2 linked regions of the Rattus norvegicus genome follow. The protein of the gene in region 1 binds, or shares a complex with, the protein of each later gene. Links are inferred from orthologs where the notes say so. Each region holds a gene or a part of one and is shown on either strand. Other genes may lie near its edges. The genes, in order: Gtf2a1 and Polr2b.

The links.
Region 2: Gtf2a1 (region 1) and Polr2b share a complex: the UniProt entries of both Homo sapiens proteins name them as parts of the TBP-based Pol II pre-initiation complex. The link is inferred for Rattus norvegicus from reciprocal best matches to the Homo sapiens genes GTF2A1 and POLR2B.

What each region holds. Positions count from the first base shown.
Region 1 is NC_086024.1:116,237,951-116,253,264, reverse strand, and holds the start of Gtf2a1 (transcription initiation factor IIA subunit 1), read left to right. Parts: upstream 1-1,044; 5' UTR 1,045-1,487; coding exon 1,488-1,517; intron 1,518-1,560; exon of another isoform or gene 1,561-2,737; intron 2,738-2,755; exon of another isoform or gene 2,756-3,073; intron 3,074-4,167; coding exon 4,168-4,269; intron 4,270-15,259; coding exon 15,260-15,314. UniProt on the Homo sapiens protein: TFIIA is a component of the transcription machinery of RNA polymerase II and plays an important role in transcriptional activation. TFIIA in a complex with TBP mediates transcriptional activity.
Region 2 is NC_086032.1:31,150,403-31,165,716, reverse strand, and holds the end of Polr2b (DNA-directed RNA polymerase II subunit RPB2), read left to right. Parts: intron 1-438; coding exon 439-607; intron 608-3,389; coding exon 3,390-3,486; intron 3,487-4,387; coding exon 4,388-4,482; intron 4,483-6,099; coding exon 6,100-6,350; intron 6,351-6,430; coding exon 6,431-6,520; intron 6,521-6,724; coding exon 6,725-6,832; intron 6,833-8,277; coding exon 8,278-8,391; intron 8,392-8,938; coding exon 8,939-9,099; intron 9,100-13,088; coding exon 13,089-13,284; intron 13,285-13,920; coding exon 13,921-14,010; 3' UTR 14,011-14,183; downstream 14,184-15,314. UniProt on the Homo sapiens protein: Catalytic core component of RNA polymerase II (Pol II), a DNA-dependent RNA polymerase which synthesizes mRNA precursors and many functional non-coding RNAs using the four ribonucleoside triphosphates as substrates.

The sequences.
Region 1 (15,314 bases):
GTCCCCAAATTCCTAGGACCAGGAAAAGTGGCAGTGTTAAATTCTGCCAACCGAACAGGAGTCTGTTTCCTGAAATATTGATACAAAGGCGGGATTTGCTTGGACGTCACAGGTCAAATTCCCAATGAATTGCATTCTAAGACACCGACGAACTCTGCCTGATCTCTTGTGACAGGCCTGGCAAGTTGGTGAGTCATGGGCCTAAGTTTCAGATATGGTTAGTCACTGTGTGCAATCACAGCACTTTGGTAACATTAAAAAACAAAAGCAGTAATTAGTGTATCCCAATCTGGTAGTTGTATCCAAGTTTTTTTCTTCTCCACCCTAAGAAGTCATTTAAAGGTTCTGTGAGTTGGTAGAGGCTGATTCTTCGGGGGTATTTTAGCCAAACCACCTTGTAGTCTAAATCTGTAGAGACAAACAGCTGAGAACACAGGCTTTCCTAATTCTGTAAGGTACATACAGCGAGCACAAAGCTTTCCTCTCCTCTCCTCTCCTTTAGACTTATACACAACTTCACGAGGTCTATCCTTTGCAAAAGGCGCGAACTTCCTCCTCGCCCGACCTAAGCTCTACGAATCAAAAGATGACTCCGCATTTAAAACTGTCCCAAGCCCCAGCGCGCGGGAGCCGGAAGCCGCGCCACGTGACGCGCCGTCCGTACGCAGCCATCCTCCGGAGAGCCCGTAGCCTCCACCGCTACTCCACTTCTCCGCTCCACCCGATGCCCTGCTAGGTAGCCACGAACTCTGGGTTCCCTAAATAAACCAGCCTCGTCCAGTGACGCCTCCTGGCCAACCCGCCAACGCGCCGGGACCACCGCCGCGAAACGCTTCCGCTAGGGCTCCCCCGCCCCCGACCACGTGATCACGCGAGACTTGGAAAAGGCGGCGGCGCGCCTTCTTTTACTCCAGCTCCGCGGCCCCGCCCACCCAGGGCCTGGCGACGCCCCGGCGCGCGTGCGCACGCGGTTCTCGCGGTGTCTCGCGCTCGGCCCCGCCCCCCGCTGCCCCCGCCCTTTCCGCCCCTCCCTCCCTCCGCCCTGTCTCTCGGCGGCAGCGACGGCGGCGGCTCGCGCAGCTTGTTGGCTCGCTATATAAAGGGGAGAAGCAGGCGGACCGGACGGCTGGAGCTGCAGCCGGTGGCGGCAGCGGTGGCGCGGGGAGCGGTGACCGGTGTTGGTTTCCCTCCTCGGCGCCGAGTGGGGGAGCGGGTGACGCCCCCTAACCCCCTAAGGGGTCGTGGCTTATTTTTTTTTCCCTTTTTTTTCCTTTAGGCGATTCTCGAGGTTTTTAGCTGCGGGAGGAGTGCCCCCCTCCTCCTGGTCTCCCGCCTCTTACTCCTTCTGGATCGGTTTTGTTGAGAAATTTTTGCCCCACTCTTGCGGGTGACTTGGGTCACCCTCCGGGTCTCAGTTTTTTTTTCTTTTTCTTTTTCTTTTTTTTTTTTTAATATCTCGTTCTCTCTTGTTTGTGTTGTGTGTGGAAATGGCGAACTCGGCAAACACAAACACCGTGGTAAGGACGTGGTGCGGTGGCCGGCGGGGGCTGCGAAAGGTTCCGGCGGCAGGCAACGGCCGGGGCGGGCGGGGGCGGGCCCGGGCGAGGCGGCGCTCCCGACCCGGTCCCCTCCGCCCTCCACCACCGCTGCCCGCCGCGGGCCTGGCCGGGCGGGGGGGCGCCGCGGGCTGGCGGGCGGAGGGCGGCGAGGCCGGGAGCGCCGCGGGGCGGGCCACGCAGGCCGTTGGGCCCTGGCTGCCGACCCCGGGGCGCAGGCAGGAGGGTGGCGGCCCCACGCGGGACCCGGACCCGGCCAGCCTCCCGAGCGTCCGCGGGTCGAGCCCCGCGTTTGGGGAGCCTCTTGGACGTCGCCAAGGCCGGGCGTGCCTTCGGGGGCTCTCTGGAGGTGGTGCTTTGGGAAGCCTCCGCTGGGGCCGATTTTACTAATCCTCCGAAAGGAAAAAAAAAAAAAGAGACAAAAAAGATGAAGGTTGGAAAGCACTTATCTCGGTTCCTCCCCAGTGGATAAAATGGCGAAGGGGAAGCAAAACCCCCGCGGTATCCTCGACTAGCAAAAGCACCAGAACAAACAAAGCCTACAGTGAGTGGCCCAAGAGTCCCCCGCTTTCGCCTTGATATTTGCCTACTTCCCGCTGCTCCCTTTTTTGGTTACTTGCGATCACGTAGGTTTGCAAAAAGCAGTCACATAAAAATAACCTTTTAAAAAGAGTCACCAACGCAATGTGATCACTAGGCCACCCCAACTCTTGATCCTTTTTTTTTTATTGTTACAATAAAACACATTTTTTTGTTTTGTTTTTTTGTTTGTTTTCTTGGGTTTTTTGCCCGGTCCCAAACGCCGCAGAACAGCCTGCGGCCGCCCGACACTGTACCGTTGGCGACTCGGGTCGATCCATCATGGCTGCGGCCGCTTACCCTGCTTTTCAGTGCCTGCGCCTTGTGGTCCTCCTCCCTTTGGCTGCCCTGTTTATATAGAGCCATTGCCGCTCTCTAATATAGACTCTGCCAGGATGGGAAGGTGCTTTTCAGGCCTACGTCACCGCCTCTCCATTTAAACACCAGATCCGGCTTTAAATAGTGAGAGCTGCAGAGCGCGGGGCTGGGAGGTGCGTGCTCCCGAGGCGAGAGGCGCCGGCGTGCGGAGTTCAGTTTATTTCTACGCTCCCTTCACGCCGAAATTTCGCTCCGGAGCCAGGAGGCTGTTGTCACGGACCCGAGTGTGTTTTTGCTGTGGCAGCTAGAGTGTACTGCCTTTGTTTGTAGTGGGAAGTAGGCCAGAATTGCAGCCTCGTTTTGTTCTTTTTTCCTTCCCTTTATACAGTTTAATTTTAAATCGTTTTAGATCAGATAGGATGATTTTCTTTTTCTTGGAAGAGATACTGTCAACATTCTCGGCTTTAAAAAAAATGGCGTTGTACGTTAAATGTTTCCCCAAAGAGGACTTGAGTTTGGTAGTGTTTTCTTAATACTCAAGGCATGAAGCTTTTCGCGGTGACTGAAGCTTCTGTGCTCACAATCCATTGATGTGTATGTAGAGTTAAGTGAAGAAAGAGGTACAGCCTAAACTGAATTTTAAGAATTAAAGATTAAGTAATGGTTTTAATTTTACCAGAAGCTAACATGGTCAAACCCACCCAGGTTACCAAATATTGTGCCAAAAAATTAGCAACCTCTAAAAGGAACCTTCCAATAATGCTACATGCAGTCTCCAATTTGCCAGTTTCAAAGTTTGGAAAATGTGTTTTAAAAGGACAGATTTATTAAATGACCTTGTATTCAATAAAGACAAAAGCCACTTCGAGTGAAGTTTAGCATTTTCCTTTTTCCTTCAGTAATAGTGCTTCTGAATTGGTTAAGTTATTGGCTAGTTGCTGAATGATTGAATAGTAGCAAGAGAACGAAATTTTGTGTCTCAGTGTTGGAATTTCTTTTATGGTGACTGATTTAAAAAATATTGAAACTTCTGGTCTGCTGGAAATTTATCCTACCAATTTAAAATTACATGACCAATGTAGAGTTTGGTGATATAGCTTGAAGGTACAGACCAGGACAGGGAAAAAACTGAGGTCATTTTTGTATGATCACATTTGGATAAGACTGCTGGGTATGACCAGAAGATGACTAGTGAACAAAGAGTTCCCCAAATATAAGAACTGGAAAGGCTGTGAGATGGGACGAGGGTTAAATCAAACATGGATAGTAGGAACCAGGCGTAACCATAAACTTATTAATTATGATGTTAGAAATTTTAGTCACAATCAAGGAAATTAGAACTGGAATTTGTGTATCCTGTCTGCATAAAGAACTTTGTTTTATGAACTACATTGCCCGGCCTTACACTTTTATAAAATATGTCACTGTAAAATTTAATTTAGTAAGGACAAAATATGTGTTTTGTTTTGTTTCGAAGACAGGTTCTCTGTGTAGAGGTCAGGCTGCCCTGGAACTCTGATATCCTCTTGTCTCTGCCTCAAGAGTGCTAAGCCTGACTTAGGATTGCAGTATCTTTAAAGTCGCAATTTAAAATAGATTTAGATAATTGACCCAGTGACTTGTATTTAAGGATTAGATATTTTATTAAGGATTTCTCAAAGCCTGTTAAAATTTTGAAATCAGTCTTTTATTGAATCTTATTTTTCCTTTAAAGCCTAAATTGTATAGATCTGTGATTGAAGATGTTATTAATGATGTCCGAGACATTTTTCTGGATGATGGAGTGGATGAACAGGTCCTGATGGAACTAAAAACTGTGAGTTTGTCTCTTTTTAAAAGAATATTTTAGTATTAATAACTTTTCTATGAAGATGTCGAATGATGAATGTTTGACTTTAAGGAGAGACAGTATATAGTGTAGTGAAAGGTATTGGCTTAAACTTCAGCTCTGCCGTCTCTACGTCCTCTACTTGGGTAGCTAGGTACCTTGTATTCAGCTTCCTTCCCTGTGAGATTGGAGGTGGTAGTGCAGACTCCTGGGTGGTGGTTCTCAGGATGAAGTGCAGTAAGCATAGAGAATGCCTGCCTATCACAATGGCTTATAATAGCTTTTCTTGTTCACATGTGATTTTTATGGTTGTTTTACTTGACATGTCAGTAATAGTATTTACTTTTTTTGTATTTTTATTGTATTTGTATTTTAAAATTTGTTTATGTTGAAGGAGGGATTGAACAAATGCTCAATAAAAAAGTGTAGGTACTAGAGTAAAATCCTTGGTGTAGACTAAATGCTCCTTTTATTGTGTATTATACACTGAGAACTAGTTTTTCCTCTTAGGTTTATTATGCAGACATACTTAAAGATTTTTTTTTTTAAATGGCATTTGTGTGGGCACTGAAGAGATAGCTCAGTGCTTGAGAGCTCTGGCTGATTGTCCAGAGGAACTGGGATTGATTCACAGCACCCACATGGTGGCTCACAATAGACTATAAGTACAGTCCCAGGAGGTGCCCTCTTTTGGCCTCCATGGGCATTAATCAGCACACAAATGGTGCACAGACATTCATGTGGGCAAAGCACACATACACATGGCAGCATGTGTGTTTTCTGGTGGTAGAATGAGGTGAAAGTGTGGAGTATTTTTGTACTAGTTAGACTAAGTACCCAATTTGAAAATTTCATAGTTTATTATTCTTTCATTTAAAAGTTGCATCTTGTATGGTTGGGAAAATGACTCAACGAGTAAGAGTGCTTGTTCTGAAGTTAAGAGGACCTGAGTTCACATCTCCTGCACCACATAAAAAAAGGCAGGTATGAGACCCACATGTGCCTGTCACCCCAGTGTCTGGGGGATTGAGACTGTGGATCCCAGGCGTTATTGACCAGCCTCTAAGCAAGGGCGGAGAGAGATAGAGGAAGTCATTTTAATATCCTTCTGAAGGTTCCACATGTACACATACAAAAATTGTCCACTGAGAAAAGTCAGTACCTCAGTTCAGCAGCCTAAGTGCACAGCACTTACCATGCCTTTCTGTTAGATTCTGTTCCTGTGCAGCAGCGCTGCGTTAGGTGTATATTTACTGTGCGGAGACTGTTCTAAAAATGTGTGCTCTGCTGTTTAGTCAAATGTGTAAACATTCGGAAGGTTTCATAACTTATAATGATTGTCGGAAGATCATTCAAAGAACAAGATATATTAATAGATTTTACTCTTAGTAATGAAAAGTTCATTGGTATGCAGATTGAGATTATATATTGTTGAACTTTAATATTTTAAAATATCTTTTGCTTTCTCAGTTGTGTAACTATATGAGAATTTTTTCTTTCTACCCTTCGATCAAAACAACATTGAAATGGAGAGGCAGATGGGAAATCCAGCTTCTTTATGCCATTTTTATCAGCTTTTTTTCCCAGTTAATTCTGGAAAAGTTGGCATCATTTATACAAACCCAGGCTTTTCATTTTAAAATTTTAACACTAAAAGTATCCCAATTTTTTTGAAGTGCTCAGTCATTTTTGGAAAGAGATAGAGGAACAGAAGCTGATTTTCTAAAGTTGTCCTTTGACTTGTGCTTTGGCATGTGCACAACCCCCACCTCAAAAAACTTGAAATAATAAATTAAAAAGAGAGAAATGGACCTGAGGTCAGAAGCAGTAACTGTTGGTTTAGAAAGCGGGAGCAGCTTCTTTAGAGCTGTGCTCAAGTCATCACAGCCAATACGTCCTTAGGGCATAGCTGTGGTCTTTTCCTTTCAGATGTGGAAGCTAGAATTTAGCACTCATTTAAAATGAAGTCTGAGCTTTATTGTGGTGATGAAATATGTCTTAATATGTTTAAGCACCTGTGGACAACTTCTAGAATATTGCCAATGTAAGAAAGGGAAAAAAATGTTAAGTTTTAGTGAAATGAGTAGTACTTACCTGGAGGGAAATAAGTTATTTTTTAATACTCAAGGATACAAGTGTTAGAATTCCTCTTATGAAATAGGAGTTGGAAGATCGTGGAACAGCATAGAGTATTTATAGTACATTAAGAATAAGGAAATAAACTATTCCCTACAGGGAGAGAAATGGAGTGCCTAAAGATAAAGGTGTAGAATGCCTCCTTTGGGATTTGGAACAGCATAGATGTCTAAATTATACGAAGATTAAATAGACAAGCTTACCTTCGTCCTTGTGCACTGGGGAATGTTTTACATTTTGCTGGACTCCGTAATTGTCTTCTCTGTAACATTATGTAAAGAATAAAGTTTTTTTAGAGATATAGAAATGGTATGGGTCAATCTGGGATCTTTATTTTCTCTTGCTTTGTCGGTTGACAGTTTGGAGAATTCTGTCTTTTGACTGGTCCCTATAGCTGTTCAAAGACATTAAATTGTCTTGGAAAAATCAAGTGTCTTCACTTGTGTGTTTCTGACATTTGAAAGTAACTCGTTCAGCATTTAATCTTCAGTTTCTACCATAATACTTGGCCTATGTAGCTGGCACTCAGTTAAATATTTAGCTGAACTGCTTAATTTCGGATGTGGCTTCTGAATCTTACTAATGCTATTTTTGTTATTGTTAAGTGGGGCACACACTTGGGTTGTAATAAGAGTTAAAGCTGTTAGACCAGAATGAACTTAATTCTCTGCACTAAATTTCAGGACCTCATTAGAATTTTCAGAATGTGCCCTAGATTTAACAGGTAGACCCTAGCCTTGCCCAGGACTGTCTGCAGTGACCGAAGTGTGTGTCTGTCATCTGCGCAGCCACATGTGGCTGTGCAGCATCTGGGATGTGATTGGAAGAACTGAGGAATACATTTTTGTTAATTTTATTTAATTTAAATTTAAATCACTACATGTGGTTAGTGATTATTACCACATTGAGCTATTCAGATTTTCTTGCTCACAAGGTTAGCATCCATTGTGTGTTTTATGATTTATAATGGGCTTTGTGAGTGAGCTCCTTTTTTAACTGTTTCACAGATTATCAAGGTTGCTGAGGCTATCAGATACAGTGGTAATTAGATTATGAACTGAGATGCACAGTGAGGCAGCATATAATTTAAAGATTAATTAGATATTGTCAGAAATGTCATTTAAAAACTAAAACAAACCTAGCCAATTATTTAAGTCAGTTCCTGACGTGTTAAGAACTCACTTAAGGCGTGTTTAAACTATGGGAGCTGGGGGGAAGGCATAAATATTGTCCATATTTAATTGGAATGTGTATTGGCAAGGAACTGGATGGGAATGACACTTTAGAAATTCTCTTCAAAGTAAATAATGAGCAAATAAGGAAGGGAAGGTAGGAGAAATGGTACTGTGTAAGGGCTACGTAGTGAAGTTGTCTCAGAAAACCAAAAACCCAAAACACTGTAAAAGCAAAACTCAAAGTGAATGATAAAACCAACCTGTCAGGCCTACCTATATATCTAAATAGCAAATATATAAACTGCGTGATTCCGAACCTCCATTCTCCCCCTCACTCACACACACTCACACACACCCACACCCACACTACATTGCTCTTCATCAGACTGGGAGCCTTGTACAAGCTAGGCCAATGCTATGCCAGTGAGCCACATCCTTAACCCTTTGCGTTCATGCTGATAAAATGGATTCCTCAGTTAGAGAGGAATCTGAAAATTGAGGTTCTATGCCTCTAGTTTAGTCCCTCAGCTGTGGTGCATTTGACGTTGGACTGATTTTGACAGCTGTATATCTAATGTTAGCAACTGACTGACTTCTGCCAGTTCTGACTTACACCCATTAGTTGTGTTCAGAGATGGCTTTATTGCCCATCTCCCTAAGGAAGAAGTAGCAAAATCACCACATGTTGAGAACCACTTTTCTAAATACACCCTAATTATACATAGATACTTAATACATTGATATAAATACCTAAACTATAAATTGAATAATTACCTGCTTCTGTCCTTTGACAAGAGTGTTTAGCTAGTAGGTAGTGGCAATATGAGAGCCTGTGTGCGCCATGAGATAAAAGACCTACATTCACATTTCTACCATCTTTTAGTTAAGTGTCCTTGACAAAGGATGGTCAGCATTTACCTTGTACTCAAACTGTGAAGTGCCCATTCTCCAGCAGTGTTGGATTAGAGATTTTGAATGGTTCCTGTTTCTGCAAAGTACCTAGCTTCTGGATAAAGTGTACACTGATTTTATTTCAGAGCTTCCAAAAGATGTTAGGGAACTTAGCTTCTCCAAAGAGTAAGTGAAACAGAAAGTAGAGGAAGGAACTGGTGAAATGAGAAGGGCGAGGCAAGGGCAGTACCAGGCATGGTGCTCAGAGACACAGAGTTAGTCTTCAGCCATGTAATTATCCTGCTTTTGCCTTCTGTTATTTGCTCGTCTTGGAGAACTTGCTTAACTACTCGTTTTTCAGGTTCCTTTTCTCTAAAGAAGGAGGTGATAATGTCTACATGTGTGCTTATTTCAATAGAATTAAATAAAATGTAGTTACCAGATCATCTCACATACAGTCTCAGACTTTTGGGGAACAGAAGCTAAATTTTTGTCATGTCAATTTTAGATACCTAGGCAAAAATTGCTGAAGTGTGAATGTGCCAGAATTAATATTTTACTTGTGGGAAAGGGAGTAAATAAAATTAAAAGAGCTCTTCCAGTTTTTTTAAGCAAAGAAATGCTTAACAATTCTATATCCCTAGTTCAGCATTACCAGCACAATTACTATTGCCAAAGCAGAGTAGCATTTTAACAGCTGATATTTAGGACCTAGAACTTTCTGATCAAGTTAAAATTGTGCAGAAGTGAAATTGAAGAGCTGAAGAGATGCTTGAGCAGTTAAGAGCGCTTGCTGCTCTTACAGAGGACCTGTCCTCAGTTCTTAGTACCCACGTGGAGGCTCACAACCATCCATAATTCATTTGCAGGGAATCTGATGCCTTCGGACCTCTGTGCGCATTAGACATACATACACGCCAGCATAGCAGTTAGATGCACGAACCTTTTTTAATAAATGAAAGTAAAAGATAAATATTGAGTGGGTAAATCCAGCTTTATTTGAAGGTATAAGCTTGGTGCTTAGTTATATGGTATTATTTCTGTGTTCATTAAGTTACTAGAACGTTTACGAAGCTGAGTTCTGATTCTTTTTTTTTTTCGGAGCTGGGGACCGAACCCAGGGCCTTGCGCTTGCTAGGCAAGTGCTCTACCGCTGAGCTAAATCCCCAACCCCTGAGTTCTGATTCTTGATGGACGGCCCAACCCCTGCCAAGCTTTTGGCAGGATGTGGACATGTTCATGTGTCAGGAGTGGCCAACACCTTTGTCGTTTAGTAGGCAAGGACTAGGAATGTTGCGTTTCCTGTGGGACCATCCCGTATGATACAGATATCCTCAGCCTAAAATGCCAGTAGTATCCTATACTGAAAACAGAATTCTAATAAACATTATTTTTTACAATCTTTCTTTAAATTTAATACTAAATAGCTTATAAATTCCTAGTTACCTGTTAAGTCCCAAGTAAAATAATGTCTTCATGAAGGAATTCATTCAAAAGTAGAACTATCTCTAACAGCACATGGGGTAACACCCTCCCACCCCCAACACCCCCTACCCTCGAATGGGTGGCCTTGGAAACAGACACACTGGCCTTTGCCCCTCTCCTGTGTCTGCACTGAAGACATGGCTCAGCATGCCCAGTCTAAGAGACTGCCTTTCTCTGGGCTTACGGAACTTTGATATGGTTCATTTTAGAAACTGCACATTAAGAGCAATGGAGTAGCCTAAGGTTATTTAGCAGAAAGTAGCTCAGTATTGTAACAAATACAGTACCCGTTGCAGTGGCAGCTAGTCTTTGCAAACAAGCCATACTAAGCCTCTGCTCAGGAGTCTGACTAACTGGGGCAATAGATGGGACTAAGCTGCTGTTCTTAAAAATAGTTGCTAGTTTCCCCTTATCTACAGTCTTTCTTTTTTTAAAAAGATTTGTTTATTCATGTATGTAAGTACACTGTCACTGTCTTCAGACACACCAGAAGAGGGCATCAGATCCCATTACAGATGGTTGGGAGCCACCATGTGGTTGCTGGGAATTGAACTCAGGACCTCTGGAAGAAACAGCCAGTGCTCTTAACCTCTGAGCCATCTCTCCTGCCCCTTTACAGTCTTTCTTTAAAAAGGAAATGTGTGTGGGTGTTTTGCTTGTAGGTACCATGGCTGTGCTCAGTGCTTGTGGAGGCCAGGGGATGGCATTGGATTTCTTGGAACTGGGGTTACAGACTATTGAGAGGTGTCATGAGAGAACTGGGAACTGAACCTGCGACCTCTGAAAGAGCAGCAAGTGCTCTTAACTACTAAGTCATTCTCTCCAGATTCCTTATCTTATTTTTTGAGGTTTTGATTACCCTTAGTCAGCTTTGTTAGGAAAATATTAAGTGAAATAATCCAGAAATCAGTAATTTGTGAGTTGTAGGTTGTGTGCATGCTGACCAGAATGATAAAATCTTTCTCCAGTCAGCTGTGTAGTATCTAGTTGTGAGTCATTTCTCTGTCCAGCTTATCCACTCTGCATATGCAACTCATCCATTAATCATTTAATGTCCACCCAGGTGCCGAAATACCTGTGCAGTGTCATAGTGTGTTTGTTTAGATAACCTAACAAGTGTCTGTACTTCACCTAAATCTTACCACATAGATATTGGATTTCATATCCCCACGAGAAGCTGCAGACATTCAATAAAGTACTTTGAGAAAGAGACAATCACATAGCTTGTTATCCCAGAATATTCTTATAGGTGTTCTCTTTTATTGCACTGTTTATAGTTTGCTAATTAAACTTTTATCATGGGTATGTATGTAGGGGGAAAAAATCATAATTGAGGTGAGAATGGTTTTAGACTTCCAGTTGGGATGCGGGCTATTTTTACAGATATAAAGGTGATTATATTATAGGTTATATACATATATATCATAATGTTCAGATTATGCAGATTAATATAATTAACATAATCTATAATATAGTCTACAGATTATTACAGTTCAGCAGATGTGTTTGTAAACTTTAGAAAGTTAATCCATTAACTAACAGTGCAGAAAACAATGTTTCTTAAGCTTTTATGTATACTGTATAACCCAATAAAAACATAGAATGAATGAAAATATATATATATATATATATATATATATATATATATATATATATATATAAAATCCCCCCCCAAAAGAAAAGCATTGGTTTAGATTTTAATACAACTATTCTTACTTTTGCAAACATCACAAAATAACCTTGGCAATTTATTATAATGGCTTGTGGCTCACTTCTTAATCTGACGATAGCCTAAGTCTGGGATTTCACCTCAGAATCAGCTCTCCTCCTCTTGTGTAGCAGCCAGCTCCTCTTCTTTCCTTTCCTTTCCTTTCCTTCCCTTCCCTTCCCTTCCCTTCCCTTCCCTTCCCTTCCCTTCCCTTCCCTTCCCTTCCCTTCCCTCCCCTCCCCTCTCCTCTCCTCTCCTCTCCTCTCCTCTCCTCTCCCCTCCCCTCCCCTCCCCTCCCCTCCCCTCCCCTCCCCTCTCCTCTCCTTTCCTTTCCTTCTTCCTTTTATTTTCTTATGGTTCTGGATTTGTGGTTCTCATTTCATGCTAACCGGGAAAGCACTCTTACTACTGAAATACACTGTAAACCTTCTCAGTTCTGAATTTTGATTGCTAGGTCCTTGACAGAAGAAAGTAGGGGAGTAGACTATGTACTTAGCTGCTCATTACATGTAGCCAATATTCATTGGAATGATGGGCTCACAACCAACTGATGGTAATAACAATACAACACTGAATTTAGGGAAGTAAAGAGGGGCTATAGAGAGATGGCTCAGTCATCTGAGCACAGAACGTAAGAGCTCTGTTCCTAGAACCCACTTCCTAGAACCTATAGCCAGCTCAACTGCGTGTAACTCCAGTTCCAGGGGGATTCTACCTACACCCTTTTCTGTTAGTGAGGACAGCCCACAAGCAAGTGATATGTCTTCACATACACACAAATAATTCTTAGAAGGGGGAACAAAAATATTCATAGGAGATAGGGAGACAAAGTTTGGAGCAGAGACTGAAGGACTGCCCCACCTGGGGATCTAGCCCATATACATACAGCCACCAAACCCAGACAATATTGATGAAGTCAAGAAGTGCATGCTGACAGGAACCTGATAGAGCTGTCTCCTTAGAGGCTCTGCCAGAGCATGACAAATACAGAGGTGAATGCTTGCAGCCACCCATTGAACTGACAATGAGGTCCCCATTGGAGGAGTTAGAGAACGAACTGAAGGAGCTGAAGGGGCTTGCAACCCCATAAAAACAACAATACCAACCAACCAGAGCTCCCAGGAACTAAACCACCATCCAAAGAGTACACATGGACGGACCCATGACTCCAGCTGCATATGTAGCAGAGGATGGCCTTGTTGGGCACCAATGGGAGGAGAAGCCTTTGGTACTGCCAAGGCTGGACTCCCCAGTGTAGGGGAATGTCAGGGTGGGAGATGGGAAAGGGTGGGTGGTTGGGTTGGGGAACACCCTTAAAGAAAAAGGGGAAGAGGCGATGGATGGGATAAGGGTTTATGAAGGGGAAACTGGAAAAAGGGAATAACATTTGAAATGTAAGTAAAAAAAAAAATCCAATAAAAAAAAACCGAAAAAGTATAATGGGTTGGATATTGGACATTGTTAGAAAATGTACTTTAAGAACTAGTTTGGATTGTCTTCATCACCTCCTCAGTTAGAAAATTATTCTGTAAAACTTCTTCCCCCTCTTGGGGGAGGATCTTTGGAACTTACTATGTAGGCTAGGCTGGCCTTGAACTCAGACATCCACTTGCCTCTGTTTCCCAAGTGCTGTGAGTAAAGGTGTGTGACTGGCTTAAAAAAGTTTCTTAAACACTGACTATTCTTTTACTTTATATTTTGATTTTGATTTTAAGAAAAAAATGTATTTTGTCTGTGTGTTTGCACACACATGTGTATATACCACCATGTGCATGTGGAGGTTAGGTGATAATTTGTGGGAGTTGCTCCCCCCCCCCCCCCCCTCCGCAGAGTTCAGCCAGATAAAATTTGGACTCTTAGGAAGTACTACTTTGTTGCTCTAGGAAGTTGTTTTTAGTGTGAAGTTTGTAAAAGCCTCTATTGGCTAGAAGTTTAACAATAATCTAAATGAATTCCCTTTAGTTTTAGATGAGGAAATGTGTAAGAATGTTACACGATTGAGTCACATTAGTAGACAAACCAGGATTAACTGGTTTTCCAGCCTCTGATGTAATGCTGTTACCTAATTAAAGCCACTATTGGATTAGTAATAACAGCGAGCGCTCAGTGACCACTCACTTTAAGCTCCCATAGCCATGAGTGAGTGGAGGTTAGTACTGTTTTAAGTACAGATTTCAGGCCTTTAAGCATCGGGTTTGCTAGGGAAGTAGTTCTGTTGTGAACCTGACTTACTTCATTCTTCAGAACACTGCTGGAAAGACACTGGGACTGTTGGAGCAGGTTGTCATAAATCTAGGTCATGTAGAGAGGGAAAGGCGAGGGGAATTTTGCTTTGTTTTGAGTCTGTGAGTACAGGAGCCTCTGAAAGGATCCTGAGGAAACAGAGCTCTGAGTTAGCAAAGCAGTATCTCAAGAGCGGATCCTGGACTTAAAAACAGAATGCATACACGGATGGACTAGTGTAAAACTGACCAAATTGTTTCTTTGCATTTTAGAGGCACAATTTTACTTTCTTAGATAATTTCTTATAGGAGTGAAACTCTAAACAATAAACATAGGAGAAAGCAAATATGTTATGGGAATGTTTTCATTTCCTTTCTTTTGGGTGGTTCTTCCTCCCCTTTCCTCCCATTATGAATTTACCGTGTGGTGAAATAAGAAAGTACAAATTGGGTATCCCTAACCTGAAAGGAATCAGCAACCCAGGAATGTTGTCTTTCTGCATTTTTTTCAGACTTTGAAATACTTGCATATAATAAGCAGTAAAAGTTCTCTTATGTTTCACATACACCTTTTTATACATTGTTAGAAGTTAATTTTGCATAGTATTTTAATGGTTTTTGTACATAAAGTAAAGTTTCATCAGGTAGAATTTTCCTGTAGTGACATCCTGTCAGGAGTCAAAAAGGTACAGATTTTAGAACATTGCAGATTTTGAGTTTTTAGACTAAATATGTTCAACCTATAGAAGTGACTAAGCAGAAAGTGAATGTCAGTCGTCCATATTGGGAGAAAGGACATTTCAGGAGGTGTAGAGAGAGGATTGGGATGACCATTTCAGCATCACTTTCTTTAACATCAAGGTTAGACAAACAGAAGGAAGTTGACCTGTCTTAATTTAGAATGCCTTTATTTCTCATTATTCTCATTAAGGACAAATGGGTGAATAGTTCTCATGTTGACTCCTATTGAAGAGATAGGAAATTTGTATTGAGCAAAGTTCCATAAAAGCAATTACGTAATGATTTTGAAATAAAAAGTAAAAAGATAAGCTGTGATTATTCAGGGATTGACTCTGGGAACTCTGTTAACAATACCTGACAACTGAGGTGAGGAATTACTCTAGAAAGTTTCTTGGAATGTAAAAAAAATTTCTTCAGCATAATAAACATGAGGTCTGATTAAGGTTTATTTTCCTTATATAAAACTTGGGTAAGAAAGGTTAATTCATGTGTGTGTGTGTGGGATTGTATTATTTCTTAGAATGGAAGAAATTTACAAACACGTAATAAATTAATGTTTTGCCTATATATCCAGAGTTTTCTTGAAGTCACTGAGAAGTCTTTATTGTTCTTTGTCTTAGTTGTGGGAGAATAAACTAATGCAGTCTAGGGCAGTAGATGGATTTCATTCAGAAG
Region 2 (15,314 bases), on another chromosome or scaffold:
CAGACTCCGCTGTGTGACTTGTGTATTAGTCACTTTTCTGTCCCTGTGGTAATATGCCACGGCCAGAGGCAACTTAAAGATAGAAGTTTATTTTGGGTTCTGCTTCCAGAGGAGATAAGAGTCCATGCTGGAGGAGCAGAGGCAGGGGAATAGTAAGCAGTAATCCTTATCCCAAAGCATGAAGCAGAGAGCAGGGTGGGGGATAGCGCATGGCCCCTAAACTCAAAGCTGGTCCCCGTGATGTGCTTCTACTAGCAAGGCCACACTTCCTGAACCTCTGGGAACAGCACTGTTCCCTGGGAGCCAGGGTTCAAATCGCCGACTTGGGGGCATTTCCCATTCACCACCAGTTTTCTTGCTCCTGTTTTTGTTGAAAGCCATAGTGGTTATTACCTGTCTGAGAAATTCATTGTCTTTATTTTTTGTTTCTCCCGTTAGTCCCCTAGAAACACGTACCAGTCTGCTATGGGCAAGCAGGCTATGGGAGTTTATATCACCAACTTCCACGTTCGGATGGACACCTTGGCGCACGTTCTCTACTATCCTCAGAAGCCCCTTGTGACTACACGGTCTATGGAGTATCTCCGGTTTAGAGAACTGCCAGCAGGTATGCCAGCTGTCCTGCCATGCATAAGACACTTCAGTGAGAAGGGCTGGGGAAGATTAAAAACGCACACAACAGTGACCGCTTTGCAGACTTTAGAATGTGGGAAACACAAATGAAATTAAAAGGGTGAATGGATGTGTGCAAAGGGTGTTGTTAGGTGTAAAGTCCAATTGAAGTACACTGTCAAAATGATTGATTCCTCTTGGAAGGTAGAGCTGCTTTTATGGAGGAATGATATTGGTAAAGGAGATATTTGAATTTGAGCAAAGGCCTTCATTTGGGAGCCTGTGAGATGTGGGACTAGGTCATGCCAGTGTATGTGGCTATAGCATCATTATATGTGACTGAAGCTTGTTCTCATGGTGTGGAAAGAGCCTGAGCAATTTGGAGTATTATTTTAAAAGTGGAGGTTTGGAGTTGATGGCTCCCCCGAGAGGGAGAATCAGGTTTTGTTAAGGGTGTGGCTATTGGTACCTTACTTGAGTGAATGGCCCCACATCCATAAGTATATGTACAGCAGATATTGGATTCTATGGGTTATTAAAATATGATGTTACACTTTCAGCTTTTAAAAAAACCTCACTGATTTCCACAGTGGTTGTACCAGGGTGCACTCCTGATAACAGCAAATAGAGTTTCTCTTTCTCACATCCCCGTCTGCATTTTCTCCTGTGTTTTTTGAATAGCCCTTCTGACTGGAGCAGGAGGGAATCTCAGAGTGCTTGTAATCTCCATAATTCTGGTGTCTGGTGGTGTTCAACGCTCAGATGTTTACTAGTCATCGTATTTCTCTCTTTAAGAACTCCGTTCAGCTTGTGTCCTTAATGTTTAGTCTCTTTAGATCGGATTCAAATCCTCTGCTGAGTGTGGAGCTACAGAGATTTTCTCCTGTTCTTCCGTTTCTTCATTTGATTGACAGTTCCCTTTGCAGGGAATTATTGGCCAAATTTCCTGAGTGATTTCCTATTCAGAAAGCCACACTTAAGCTTATATGGTGAAGTGTACTCTCCACAGTTTTCCTGTAACAGTTTCTGAGTCTTATGTTGAGGTCCTTGAATTGTTTATTCCAATTTTGTGTGTGTGAATGTCTTGCCTGCGTGTATGTATCTGTACCATGAGCATGCAGTGCCCACAGAGGCTAGAGAAGGAATCAATTCTCTACTGCTAGCTGGACGTTAGCCAAACAGGATACAGAGGCTTCCAGATCTCTCGCAGTTCAAGGCCAACCTAGTTTACACATTGAGTACTAGATCATTCTGGCTTACACATTGAGTACTAGATCATTCTGTTTACACATTGAGTATTAGATCATTCTGGTTTACACATTGAGTACTAGATCATTCTGGTTTACATATCGAGTACTAGATCATTCTGGTTTACACATTGAGTACGAGATCATTCTGGTTTATACATTGAGTACTAGATCATTCTGGTTTACACATTGAGTACTAGATCATTCTGGTTTACAGGATGGACTCTGTTTTTAACAAAACGAATAAAAAATTAGGTAGCTGTAGTATGTGCCCTCTGTTTTGTTACTTTGGCCCTGCAGTATAATTTGAAGTCAGGCAGTATTTTTATGCTCAGGACTGCTTTTGCTGTCTGAGGTCTCTTGTGCTTGCTCTCTCTGTACCTGCAGAGTGGCACTAGGGGCTTTGTTGGCAGCTTTCCTTGGTAGGATACCCATCTCCAAGGGTTAATCCTTCTAATTCACGGACTGTGTGTGAGGTCTTTGTGTCTTCTAGTGTCGTACTCAGTTAGAATGTTTTCTAATGCTTTAGTTTACTGTAGTATTCTGTTACCAATCTTCCTTCTCCTCCTTCCTTTTTTTTTTTTTTTTTTTTTTTTTTTTTGAGAAAAGGTTTCTTGTAGCTCCAAGCTGGCTCACTATATACCCTAGGCTGACTTTCCTATTTACCCTTCCTTAGTGCTGGGAATACGACTTTGGGCTTCATAGTTCCTTACAATAAATCAATCTCTTGTTATTAGTTATAACTGTGCATGGGTGCCGTGCCATGCATATAGATCAGATGACAATTTTATGGAGTCAGTTCTTCCCATTTTACATAGGTTCTGGGCTCAGACTTAGTTTGACAGGCTTGTACAGCAAATGCTATAGTGTGGGCTCACCGTCTTCCTTTTTTTTCTTGTTCCCTCCCTTCCCCACCTGCCCCTTCTCTGCCTCCCACTCCCCCTTCTCCTCCTTCCCTATGCTGTTTAAAGATGGGATGGTCCTATGTTGCCCAGGCTGTTTTCATATTCCTGAGCTAATGTGGTCCTCATGCCTTTGCCTCCCCTGAGTGTCAGGTGATAGACCTTTGCCTCCACACCTAGCCTTATGTCAGCTAAAGTAGTTAGGGCAGCAGCTACTAAGGATTAATTGTGCCCTGGAAGATGGTGTCACACTGTGGTGGCATGGGGAGAGAGTGGCAGGGTGGAGTTGGTTTCATATTGAAAATTAAAAATTATGAGGCTAATTCACTTTGGGGCATATGTTCTTACCTTTGAGTCATGAGAATAATAAAGCTTGTTCTGTTTAAGGCACAGAGCTACATGGTTCATGTGATAGTAAGGACGGCTTCCCTGGGAATGACGGGTTCAGGTTAAGTTAGCAGCGCATTTGCCTCACACACAGCTTCAGGGAGGAGTAGACAGCAGCGATTTCCATGATACGACATCCAAGTGTTTGTGACAAATGATTGAAGAAAATGGGTTTCAATGAAAGGATAGGTTTCCCTGCTTCCCTGATGGTTCTTTACTGTGTGTTTTGAATGTGTTGTAGGAATCAACTCAATTGTGGCCATTGCATCATACACGGGCTATAATCAAGAAGACTCTGTTATCATGAATCGTTCAGCTGTGGATCGAGGCTTTTTCAGGTCAGCTTTTGGTCAAATTTGTTGAAATACAGATGTAGTGGGTTGCATTTTTTTTTTTTATAAAGTTTTTTAAGAATAAGCTCGACTGTGCGAATCCAGAAGCAGATCTGGCTGGCGGCCATGCAGCTACAGGCAGTGAGTCTTGTGCTTCTGGGTTGTAGATGTGATATTTTCTACTGTAAGCAAGTGTGTAATTGCATCTGGATAGTACAGAAACATCTAAGGAAGAAATTAAAAAACAGAAGTCTGAGGTAACTACTGGTAAAATTAGAATGTGTTTTATTTATATTCTTGTTCGTTTTTTGAGACAGTCTCACTATATAGTTCATGCTGGCCTTGAACTTACAATGTAGTCCAGGTTGGCTTTGACTTCGTGGTACTTTTTCACCTCAGTCTTCTGAGTAACTGGGATTACAAATGTGCACCACCACATTTGGCTTCCCGTTCTTCTCCTTTTTACTGACCACACAATTAATCTTAAACATGCAGCATAAGGCGGTTCTTTGAACCACGGGGATTTAGAGGGGAACTTTTTCTCCTTGTGTAATTCTAGAAAGCAGCACTAGGACTAAAGCGTGGACGTCACAGCTTCATGTAAAACTGCCTCTATGGGCATACTTGAGCAGATGAAGGGTGGCTGTGCTCTGGGCTGTTAGGAGGACTTCTGTCAGTAGGAGGATGGACTTAATTACCTAGGGCCCCCTGATCTCATGTGTGAATCAGATGCTATGTGCAAAGCCTATTTACAACTGAACCTTGACCCTAGAACATAGTGATCCTTGTGCCTGCTTTGTGTTTCACATTGCCTCTCAAATATCAGTTAAGCCAAACACCGTTGCTGTAAATCTAAGCCTTTTTTCTGAAAGAAAATTATGAATCACCTTTAGAACTCTGTTTTTAGGTCTGTTTTCTACCGATCATACAAAGAACAAGAGTCTAAAAAAGGATTTGATCAAGAAGAAGTGTTCGAGAAGCCTACACGTGAAACATGTCAGGGTAAGAGACAGTGACGTCTCGTGGGGTCCAGGAATTGCCACCGAAAGCATACAAATACTGAGTGGTTTATTGAGTGCACGCCTTGATACTGAATGCTCAAGAGCTGCAGAAAGGACTCAGGAGCCCAATTGCAGTACTAGTCTGCTCTCAGGGCAGGCTTCTTATAGGAAAAACCTGGTACGGGAGTTTAAAGGGCAAGGAGGGAGCAGTTGGCCTACTAAGCAAAGTATTGTCAGCTGACCTTCAAGCTGACTGGCTCTGAGGGAAGGTAAGGGGGATGGAGGATGGGTGGTGAACAGGCGAATTTCAGGACATTGAGATAACAGAACATGAGTATTATAATCATAACTTTGGGCTTCTTAGCATTCTTCAGTGTCAACCATGTAAACCACAGTGATCTCAGGGTAGGTGCAGGAAGAGCTGCTGGGTGATCAGCTCTGACTTAAGTCTTTTTAGAAGTAACAATTCATATTGACCTTTGATTCAATGGGCTCTATATAAAGCATTGTGGAATTTCTTTAAGATTAGCAGACCTCATACAGAACAAAACAGGGTATGTGGTCAGCATGTCCTTGAGCCAAGTCACTTCTCTGAGTCAGTGACTGGCAGGCATGTTACAGTAACAGTGTGGAATAGCTGGCAGGCATGAACAAAATGGACTCCTAATAGTATTGTGTGAAGGTGTAGTGTCCTCTGTTTCCCTAAGTTCTTTCTCTTACTGTATTCCCATTGGTTGGCTCTATGTAGCACTAAGTCAGTGTTTAGTGGAATTAAAATGCACTACTTGGCTGGGCAGTGGTGGTGGCATGTGCCTTTAGTCTCTGCACTTGGGAAGCTGAGGCAGGTGGATCTTTGAGTTCTAATCTCTGAGTTCAAGGCCAATCTGGTCTGTAGAGTGAGTTCTAGAACAATCAGGCTATACAGAGAAACCCTGTATTGGGAGTAGGGTGGGAGGTTAGCATAGTTCATGATTTCTGTGGGATAATGTATGTGTAGGACCCAGGCATTCTTCCTCATGTGACAGTGGCCACACACTATGGACTGTCTCTCTCCATAGAAACTGACTTCCCACTGTTCGGTTCCATTTTTTTGTTTGTTTGTTTGCTTTGTTTTTTGTTTTTCTTAGTAAATTTATTTTCTTTTTTAAAAATCATTTTTATTTTATGTGTATGAGTATTTTGCCTGTATATATGCCCAGTGACCTTGGAAGCCAGAAGAAGACATCTGATAGGAGTTACAGATGGTTATGAGCTGCCTTGTGGGTACTAGGAATTAAACCTGGGTCCTCTGGAAGAGCAGCTAGTGATCTTAACTGCTGAGCTATTTCCCCACCCCCAGTTTGAGACAAGGTCTTTGATTGGTAGCCTTTGCTGGCCTCAAACTCTTAGAGATCCATGTGCCTCTGCCTCCTGAGCTCTGGGATTAAGGGCATGTGCTACCATGCCCAGGTATAAACTATGATATCAGAGTGCAGAGTTTGGAATAAGGACAACAATGAACAATATTTGTGGAACAGAGTTATGTATTTAGTTTCTCATGTGTGTTGGGGGAGTTAAGTAGCATTTTAAATATTTTTCCTCAGTGTCATGTAAGGAAATTCCCCATCTGTTTCCACAGGCATGAGGCATGCCATTTATGACAAGTTGGACGATGATGGCTTGATAGCGCCAGGGGTCCGAGTGTCGGGAGACGATGTTATTATAGGCAAAACGGTCACCCTCCCTGAGAACGAGGATGAGCTGGAGAGCACCAACAGGCGCTACACCAAGAGGGACTGCAGCACCTTCCTCAGAACCAGTGAGACAGGCATTGTGGACCAGGTCATGGTCACTCTCAACCAGGAAGGATATAAATTTTGTAAAATAAGGGTGAGTGTGGCTTAATTCATGTAGATCATTTTAGAAAATAATTGCATTTCAGTTTCTAACCCATTTTTATGTGAAACCAGGTACGCTCTGTTAGAATTCCGCAGATCGGAGACAAATTTGCTAGCCGACATGGTCAGAAGGGTACTTGTGGTATTCAGTATAGACAAGAGGTAGGTGTCTTCAGTCTTTCTCTTGCCTAACTCAGAGTTGTATTGAAAGATTAATTAAAATTTCCTGTAACTTTTTTGTTGTTGAAATGTTAGTGTTTGTTAACCCATCATGTTGACAAAGAATTAGGGCATTCATATTTTTCTTTGGGCAGTATCAGGTCTGTCTAGCTTTGTCTATTAAGTTTTTTACACTTTTCTTTGTAGGACATGCCGTTCACTTGTGAAGGCATAACTCCTGACATCATCATAAACCCCCACGCCATCCCCTCTCGGATGACGATTGGTCACTTGATTGAATGTCTCCAAGGGAAGGTAAGATTTTGTCCTGAAAAACAATAGGTTCCAAGTTGATGTGTCTTTCATTTTGGTGAGCATTTCTCTGATCATTGAGCCAAGATAGTTGATTAAAAGCAAATATGATATTTTCCTGCTTTCAGATTGGTTATTCCACGTTTTCATCCTTTTTTATTTTTAAGCAATCTGGGTGGTTAGGGAGATAGCTTAGTAGATAGGGGGATTTCTGTGCAAGCGTGATGACCTGTTTATTCATTAAAGGGTCGTAATACCTGGGGCTGGGAAAATGTTAGCAAGCCTGCTGCCTGACTTCAGACCTGATCCCCATGCTGCAAGGACAGGAGTGATGCTGCACGCTGACTTCCGATCTCTGCGTAAATGAATTAAACATACAAAGAGTGTGTGTGAGAAGAGGCTGTAACCCAGTGCGTTGATGTATGAGACAGAAGAGTCACTGTGCTTGGCCCAGCTCCAGGTTCAGGGAGGAGAGACCTGTCTCAGGCGGTATGAGGACGATGGACCAAGAAACCTAATGCACTAGCTTTTGATTGTTGCTGTGATAGAACAACATAGGGAAGAAAGGGTTTATTTCATCCCACGGCTTACAGTCTTACCTGTCGTGAAGGGAAGTCAGGGCAGGAACTCAAGGCAGGAACTGAAACAGGCCATGCAGGATCCCGGTGCCCGGGGCTTGCCCGGTTTGTTGTCTGGTTGTCCCAGGACCCCACCTGCTCATGGATGGTAGCCCTCTAGTGCACTGAGCCCTCATTAGTATACCTACGCTAATCAGGACAGGTCCTCACAGAGCAGTCCACTGGCAGCTCCTCAGCTCAGCTCCTGCTTCCTGGATGCCTCTCACTTGTTTCTGGTTGACAAATTAACCAGCAACCTGATGCCCTCTTCTGGCTTCTACACGGATGTGTATTCCTCCCTTACATATATACATATACCAGCACACATGTTTGCACACACACAAAATTGCCAAGAAAGAATTTTTGCCTGAGTAACTTGTGCTAGCCAATTGTACCATTGGGGCTCAAGACCAATTTATTTGTAAGATACAGCACATACAGCCTTTGTGTATATTTGTGGTTATAGCAGCAGCTTTTTTCTACAGATAAGTTAATTCAGACAGTTGGTTTAGTATGGCTTTAGGAAATGTTAAATTTTGGTATCAGCTGTGTTTTATCTTTCAGGGTAAGTTTTCTGGATTTGGGTGTCTTGTTAAAGTAGAATAGTGTCCCATGGACAGACTTCTATTGGAGAGCATTTTAGCCTCTCTTTTTAGGCAATTACTTTGTTACAAGGATCTTAGGTGAAACATTTAAAAAATGCATATCAGTATCACACAACTTTTATAACCATTTTTAATTTCAAAATCTTGCCTTTTATAGGAAACATTTTTAAATCGGGTATATCTTTATTGATGTGTGACTTCTCTCACACTTGCTTTCATTCTAAAGGTCTCTGCGAACAAGGGTGAAATTGGTGATGCTACTCCGTTTAATGATGCTGTCAATGTGCAGAAGATTTCTAATCTTTTATCTGACTACGGCTACCATCTCAGAGGAAATGAGGTATAGTTGCTATCACAAGAGCACATTCTGACCTGTATGTAACAACCATGTTCTGTGTGGTGTACTTTATATATACAAGAAAGCCGGGCTGGAGAGATGGCTCAGTGGTTAAGAGCACTGACTGCTCTTCCTAAGGACCTGAGTTCAATTCCCAGCACCACATGGTGGCTCACAACCATCTGTAATGGGATCTGATGCTCTCTTCTGGTGTGTCTGAAGGCAGTGACAGTGCACTCACATACATGGAATAAATAAATAAATCTTTAAAAAAAAAAAAGCCATTCAGTTGTGCAAGTCATAAGCATACAGCATGATGAAGTTCCACAAAGTAAACACACTGAGTCTAGCACCTACACTGAGAAACGAAATCACCCAGAATGCTTTTCTACCCTGAAAGTCCCTTCTAGTCTCCCCTGTCATCCCAGGTAAGTGCTGTCTCATTGTAAGCTGGGTTGATTTTAGTGTAAATAGCAGTACAGAGCAAGTGCACATGCGTTTCTGAGCTTGTTACATTTTTAGTCATGTGTGACAAAATCTCTGTTTTCAGGTGCTCTACAATGGATTCACTGGTCGCAAAATCACATCGCAGATTTTTATTGGCCCCACTTACTACCAGCGTTTGAAGCATATGGTGGATGACAAAATTCATTCTCGTGCTCGGGGGCCCATTCAGATTCTTAACAGACAGCCCATGGAGGGCAGATCGCGGTAAGGGAGCTGCAGCTGTGGCGTTTGTGTTCTGTTTAACTAGCCATTCACTTGAAAGCGTAAAGCACGTGTAAGTAGAGGCAGTGGTGTGATGACTGCCTGTGTTCCTGATCCTCACTTGAACAGTTTCTCCCTTAAAGTCAGGGCTGTGAACATTCTAGGCAACTGCTCTTCCAGTGAGCCAGACCCCACCTTGTTTCTGCTGTGTTCACCAGATCCAGTGGTCGTGCAGTTTCCTTTGGATATAACTATGCAAGAGTGGCTATCACCTCTGATCTCTGGACCCTCAGAGAACCTTTCTTCATGTGAGCTATGCTTTTCATGACAGCAGAGATTAGACTGAAATCTAAAATACTGATTTAAAAGCAGAGGCAAAACCATTACGTATTAGTACATGCTTAATGAAAAGTCGGTATATTTCTAAGTAAGCTTAGTGATAAAGGTGACATTCATTGGCTTACAGTTTTTGCAAATTTCTTTTGTGAGCTAGAAGGCACCTGGACTCTTCTACTTCTGAATTAATTCCATTGCAATATTTTGCCTTTCCCTTCCTCTCTCTCCACCTCCCTTCCTCTCTTCCTCATCTCACTCTTTCTTCCCATAGAGTCTCATAATAGCACAGGATAGACTCTTGTTACACAGCTGTGCCTTGCCTCCACCTCCACACGGTTGGAATTATTGGGAATTATTGGTGTGTGCCACCACACAGGATCAATGTTGTGTTTGAGGAGAATGTTTTTATTACCTTTGTCTACTGTGTGAGGTGACATGGTGTGAGTGTGGAGGTTAGGATACGACTTGTAGGAATTTGCTTCTCTCCGTTCGCCACGTAGGTCCTGGCAAGAACCTTTACCCACTGAACCAGCTCATTAGCTCAGTATTGTATTTGAGGGAGCTCGGGTGTTTAAAGTGTTTGAGAGAGCTCTGATGTCACATAGACAGATACAGTTGGAAAAGAGAAGAATGGTGTTTTTTTGTTGCTATACTAAAATGAAGAGCTACTCTAGTTTTTGTCCTTTCTAAATCTTTATTTTCATTTATTTTTGAGCCAGTATTTTTTGACCCTGTGACAGTATGTTTTTATATAATCCGGATGACCTGGTATTCACTATGAAGGCCAGGTTGACTCTGAATTCATGGTAACCTCCTGCCTCAGCCTCCTACAGGAGGCTCACACTGCAGGCCTCACTTATAAGCCTGCACCACTGTACACTGTGCTTGAGAATTTGTAATTTCCTTTTTCTTTTTCCTATTTTCTCTCTATGAAGGGAGGGAGGCAGGCAGGGAGGAGAAGAGAGAGAGAGAGAGAGAGAGAGAGAGAGAGAGAGAGAGAGAGAGAGACTGAATAAAAGATTCTGTAGTTTAGAATGTCCTTCAACTTTTGGCATTGCCCCAGCCTCTCAAATGGTGTGAATACTGGCATGAGGCCAGCTAAACATTTCTTTGTCTCTCTTTTGTCTCTGTCTCTCTTTCTCTCTCCCCCTCCCCCCTTTCTCCTTCCTTTCCCTCCCTCCCTCCTTCCCTCCCTCCCTCCCTCCCTCCCTCCCTCCCTCCTACTCCCTCTCTCTCTCTTTTTTTAATTACTTTAAAAGTGTATGGGAGTTTTGTCTGCATATATTTGTGTGCACTGTCTTGCACGTTGGTGATAGCAGAGGCCAGAAGAGGGTGTGGGCTCCTTTGGAACTGGAGTTACAAGCAGTTCCGAGCTGTGAGTGGATGCAGGGGACTGAGCTCAGGTCCTCTGCAAGGCAGCACATGGTCTTGACTGTTGAGCCACCATCTCTCCAAGTCTAGTGCATTTGGACGGGGAGAGCTGAGAAGACAAGGTGTAGCAGACAAGAGGCCCCGGTTTAGATTGCGGATCTGTCAGGATTTGCCACCAGAGGATTTAATTTAAAATGGTGTACAAATTAGGATGTTAGTTGTTGCACCCAACAATTGTGTTACCCGTGGATTCTAAACTAAGATTGTGTGGTATTTTCCTTCATATTGTGACTCACCTGAGTTCCAGAGAAAGATACGGTGGCGGGGCACCCCAGCCAGCCACGCCATGGGAACTTAGTTGGTGGAGAGTGGGAACTGAATTGGGTGGAGAGATTTTGGAGCCCTGAGTCAGAGAGCCTGCCCAGATGAGAGCAGGCCAGGCCTCCTGGTGCCCTGAGGCGATAGCGTGGGTGCTTGGAGGTCATGGAGGTGGTGAGACCACCGGGGCCAGAGAGTAGCCAGACTAAGAATGGGTTAGCCTTTTCATTATTTTACGCTACTTGTAATGAGAAGTTGAAAGCCTCATCAGTGAATTTGCTACATTAAAATCACTGCCTTACTTGGATGCCCGTTAATGGTAGAGTACTTGGCTAATGTGCAAGGTCCTAGTTCAGGCTTGTTCCCTCTGCCAAATTGTGTGTCGAATGCACAGCTGTACAGCATCACAATTAATCATTTAGGAAATACAGACTCACTGAATTATACAGATTTTTCCAATGTTAAATTCTATTCCACACAAAAGAAAAAAACCCACACTTGTTCTCTCTCTACTGATGCTCTTAGGAAAACACTTAGGTATAGGAAGACTTGGGGTGTGAAGTAGCAGGTAATTTTGTAAAATTCTAATTTTTGCTCAGAAGTTCAAATTTCTAATCATTTGTAGTACATCCTTAATTGTTTTCCTTGGAGTAAAAGGTTGACTTTGTTCAGTTCCTTTCATTTCTTTGTTCTGTAACAAAGTTTGAATCAACATAATTGGTGTTATTGCTGGAGTAAAACTGGTCTTCTCCATGGAAGGGGAACTGTCACTGCTTATGGAGCTTGGTTCCTCTGCCTGCATTTATTTGCCTAAGGATAGTTTTATTTGCTTTCTTACAGTCAGTGTGGGTGCCAGCACAGTGACAGAAGGAGGAGTATCGCTGTATTATAAGTGTAGCTTGGTCTTCCTGACACCCACAGGCTGTAACTTGACAACCTCTGTCGTAAGCATGAGCACACTGGAAACAAATCAGGGCTCAGAGAAGGGTCAGTGGCTAAAAGCACTTACTACACTTTCAGAGCTACCGTTTGGTCCCTTGTTGGCGCCCAGTGACCCACGTGTGACTTGTACCATCTGTAGCCTTCCTTTTCACGTCTCATAGCTGCTAGTCACTGGAAGGCCTTGATGAGTTAGAGTACAGATGGATGAGAGCCTAGTTCTTACCTGTCTGTCTGTTGTTGGCTAGACCGACCTCTAAGGCTGTGACTTCAGCTCCTTACCTTGTAGCCCTTACTCATTATGTAGTATTGTATAAGGCTGAATAGTGAGCCTTTTGTTGTAATAACAGTATAAGCCATTGGCTTTACTCAGTAATGCTTGTGTGCACAAATGCATGTGCTACGTTATGGAGGCCAACATCCCTCTTGTGTGGCCATCTCAATGCATGGCCTCCCCTGGGAAACCTGTCCCACTCACCTGTTCCATTGTGTGTCACTGTGCACTCTTCCCCTCAGGCTCCATGGCTGGGGATCCCCTATTGAGAGGGTATTCTATTGAGATTGACCTCTTAAATGCACGTTCACGTATAGGACTGAACTCATTAAATGATGGTACAGTGAGTCTTTGTACCACAGTGTATTTGATGAGGAAACGCATATGCTATGTTTTCTGTCTACTTCATTTGGAGACCTTCTGAAGTACACTAAAGGCTTGCTTGGCTTTTCCCCTCCTCACCAGGTTAGAGATCGCTAGGGCATAAAAGTCAGGACCTAGTTGTGCACTACTGCACTACTGCTGCTCTTGTCATTCGTCAGAGTGCTGTTTGTAAGAAAAGATGGGATGGGTTCAGGGCCAGTGACGTGGCTCAGTGGGTAAAGGTGCTGCTGCTAAGCCTAGCTATGGGTTCAATTCTCAGAAGAGAACAGACTCCTGCAATCTGTCCTCTGACCGCTACACATGTGCGTGTCTGGCATTGACATATACTCAAAATAAATGAGTACAAATAAGCTTGTTTTCTTATCAACAGTGATGGTGGCCTGCGCTTTGGAGAAATGGAGCGAGACTGTCAGATCGCACATGGTGCAGCACAGTTCTTAAGAGAAAGGCTGTTTGAAGCATCAGATCCGTATCAGGTTCACGTTTGTAATCTTTGTGGAATAATGGCAATTGCTAACACCAGGACTCACACATACGAATGCAGGGGATGCCGCAATAAGACCCAGGTGTGTGCACACTTAATCCTACATGATGTTCTTAGGCAGTAGTCATGGCAGATTTAGTGTAGTGGAATAGGCTGGGATTTTCAGTTGTGATAGCAGGTCTCCAAGATACTAGTTTGACAAAGAAAGATAGTTTGACTTTTCTAAATCAAGCTTAAAAGCAATTTCACAAAGCTATTCATCTCCGAAATAGTAAGGAATCTAAACTTTGTTTTTAAATAATGCTTATGGTTATTTTGCCTGTATGTGTGTCAGTGCATTATGTGTTTGCAATACCCACAGAGGTCGGGTTATCGGGTGGAGGTTACAGATGGTTATGAGCTGCTATGTGGGTGCTGGGAATCAGGCTCAGCCAGTGCTGGAAGGGCAGCCAGTGCTCTTAACCATCGAGCCATCTCTCCAGCCAACCAAGAGTTTCTTAAGCTTCACTTGAAATGTGTCGGTTAGATGAATATTGGCTGTGTTAGCAGAAAGGAGGAGCAGACAAAGCCTGCTTGGTTAGAGCCTGCCGAGGAGAGCCTAGGACAAGTGCTCACAGCTCACTCGTCCACCAGGAGTGCCAAAGCCTTAGCCTTTCTGGAGGAGGAAGGGGAGCCTTTGCTGCGAGTCTGCTTATCACTCTGCCTCTCCTCTCTGCAGATCTCCTTGGTGCGAATGCCGTATGCGTGCAAGCTGTTGTTCCAGGAGCTCATGTCCATGAGCATCGCACCACGGATGATGAGTGTTTAGTGGTCAGAAGTTCATGGTCCGATACTGTGAGCAGCAGTATCTTGTTTCGGTGACTGTCGTTTTTAAAAAAAAAAATGACAAAATTTCCTGTTGTAATAAGAATTTTATTTGTTTTGTTTAAAGCTCTGCATGCTTTTTCTGTAAATAAACAATAAACTTTTGTAGATAGTCTTATGTGTTATCTTTGATTTCTCTGTAAAATCAGCTGGCTGTAATAAAGTGTTAGTGTGTTAGGTTCAAAGGAATATGTCAGGCAGGAGTGGGGTTACAGCTGTCAGCTGTCTGAGAGCGCGTCAGCTACAGAGGCTAATGTATTCGCAGGTTTATAGCTGAGCACCTTCACCTGTTTCAGAAGAAAAATAAAAATTAGTCACACATACGCTCATGGTACGGCATACTGTCAGCTTCTAATCAGTGAGAATGATAAATCATGTGGCTAACAGGGGGGCATGGTAATGAGCTTATAGACCAGCGTTCAGGCTGGGACAGGAGGATTGGTTAAGCCCAGGGATTAAAGGCCTGGGCAACCTAGGAAGACCTCCATCTGCTCTCTCATCCCTTGTCTCTTTTTTCTAAGAAAGTTTCTCACTATGTAGCCCAGGTTAATCTTGAACTCGCAACTTGCCTGCCTCAGCCTCCCAAATGCTGGGATTATGGGCATGTTCCCGAGACTTCATCCTTTCAAGAAAACAAACAGGGCCCAGAGAGTAGCTCTGCAGTTAAGCTCACTGGCTGCTTTTAAGAGGAGTCGGGTTTGAGGCCCAGCACCCACATGGCAGCTCTCCCCTGTAACTCCAGTCCTAAGGGATCTGATTCCCTCTTCTGGCCTCTGAGGGCACTACATGCATGTGGTGCAGACGTGTGCAAGTAAACCGCTCATACACATTGAAAGGTGAGGTGGTGGGGGGATGACAGAAACATGGGGGTGAAGGATGTATGAGTAGTTACCTACATGATATGCTGGAGTGCCCTGTGGGGGTGAGCTATGCAGTTCTAAGGATGAGAGTCAATGCTGCCAGTGTTCAGGTGTGAAAAGGGGAGCTTTCCCATAAACTTGGACCGGCATATTTTGCAAGTTGAGCTCCAGAGAAGCTAAGCAACCTTGCAGTCCAGCTTTCATTCAGAGCTTAAGGAGAAGAGTGCTGCTCCAGTGCAGACTCGGACATGGGACCCAGCTCTGGGGAGCTCCACTGCCTGGATTTACCACACGTCTTGGTAGAAAGGAGGAATTGCTGATCAAATACACATTTACTTGATAATGCCTTTCCTGGCACAGCTGAGTGGTCTGCCCAGTGAAAGGACCT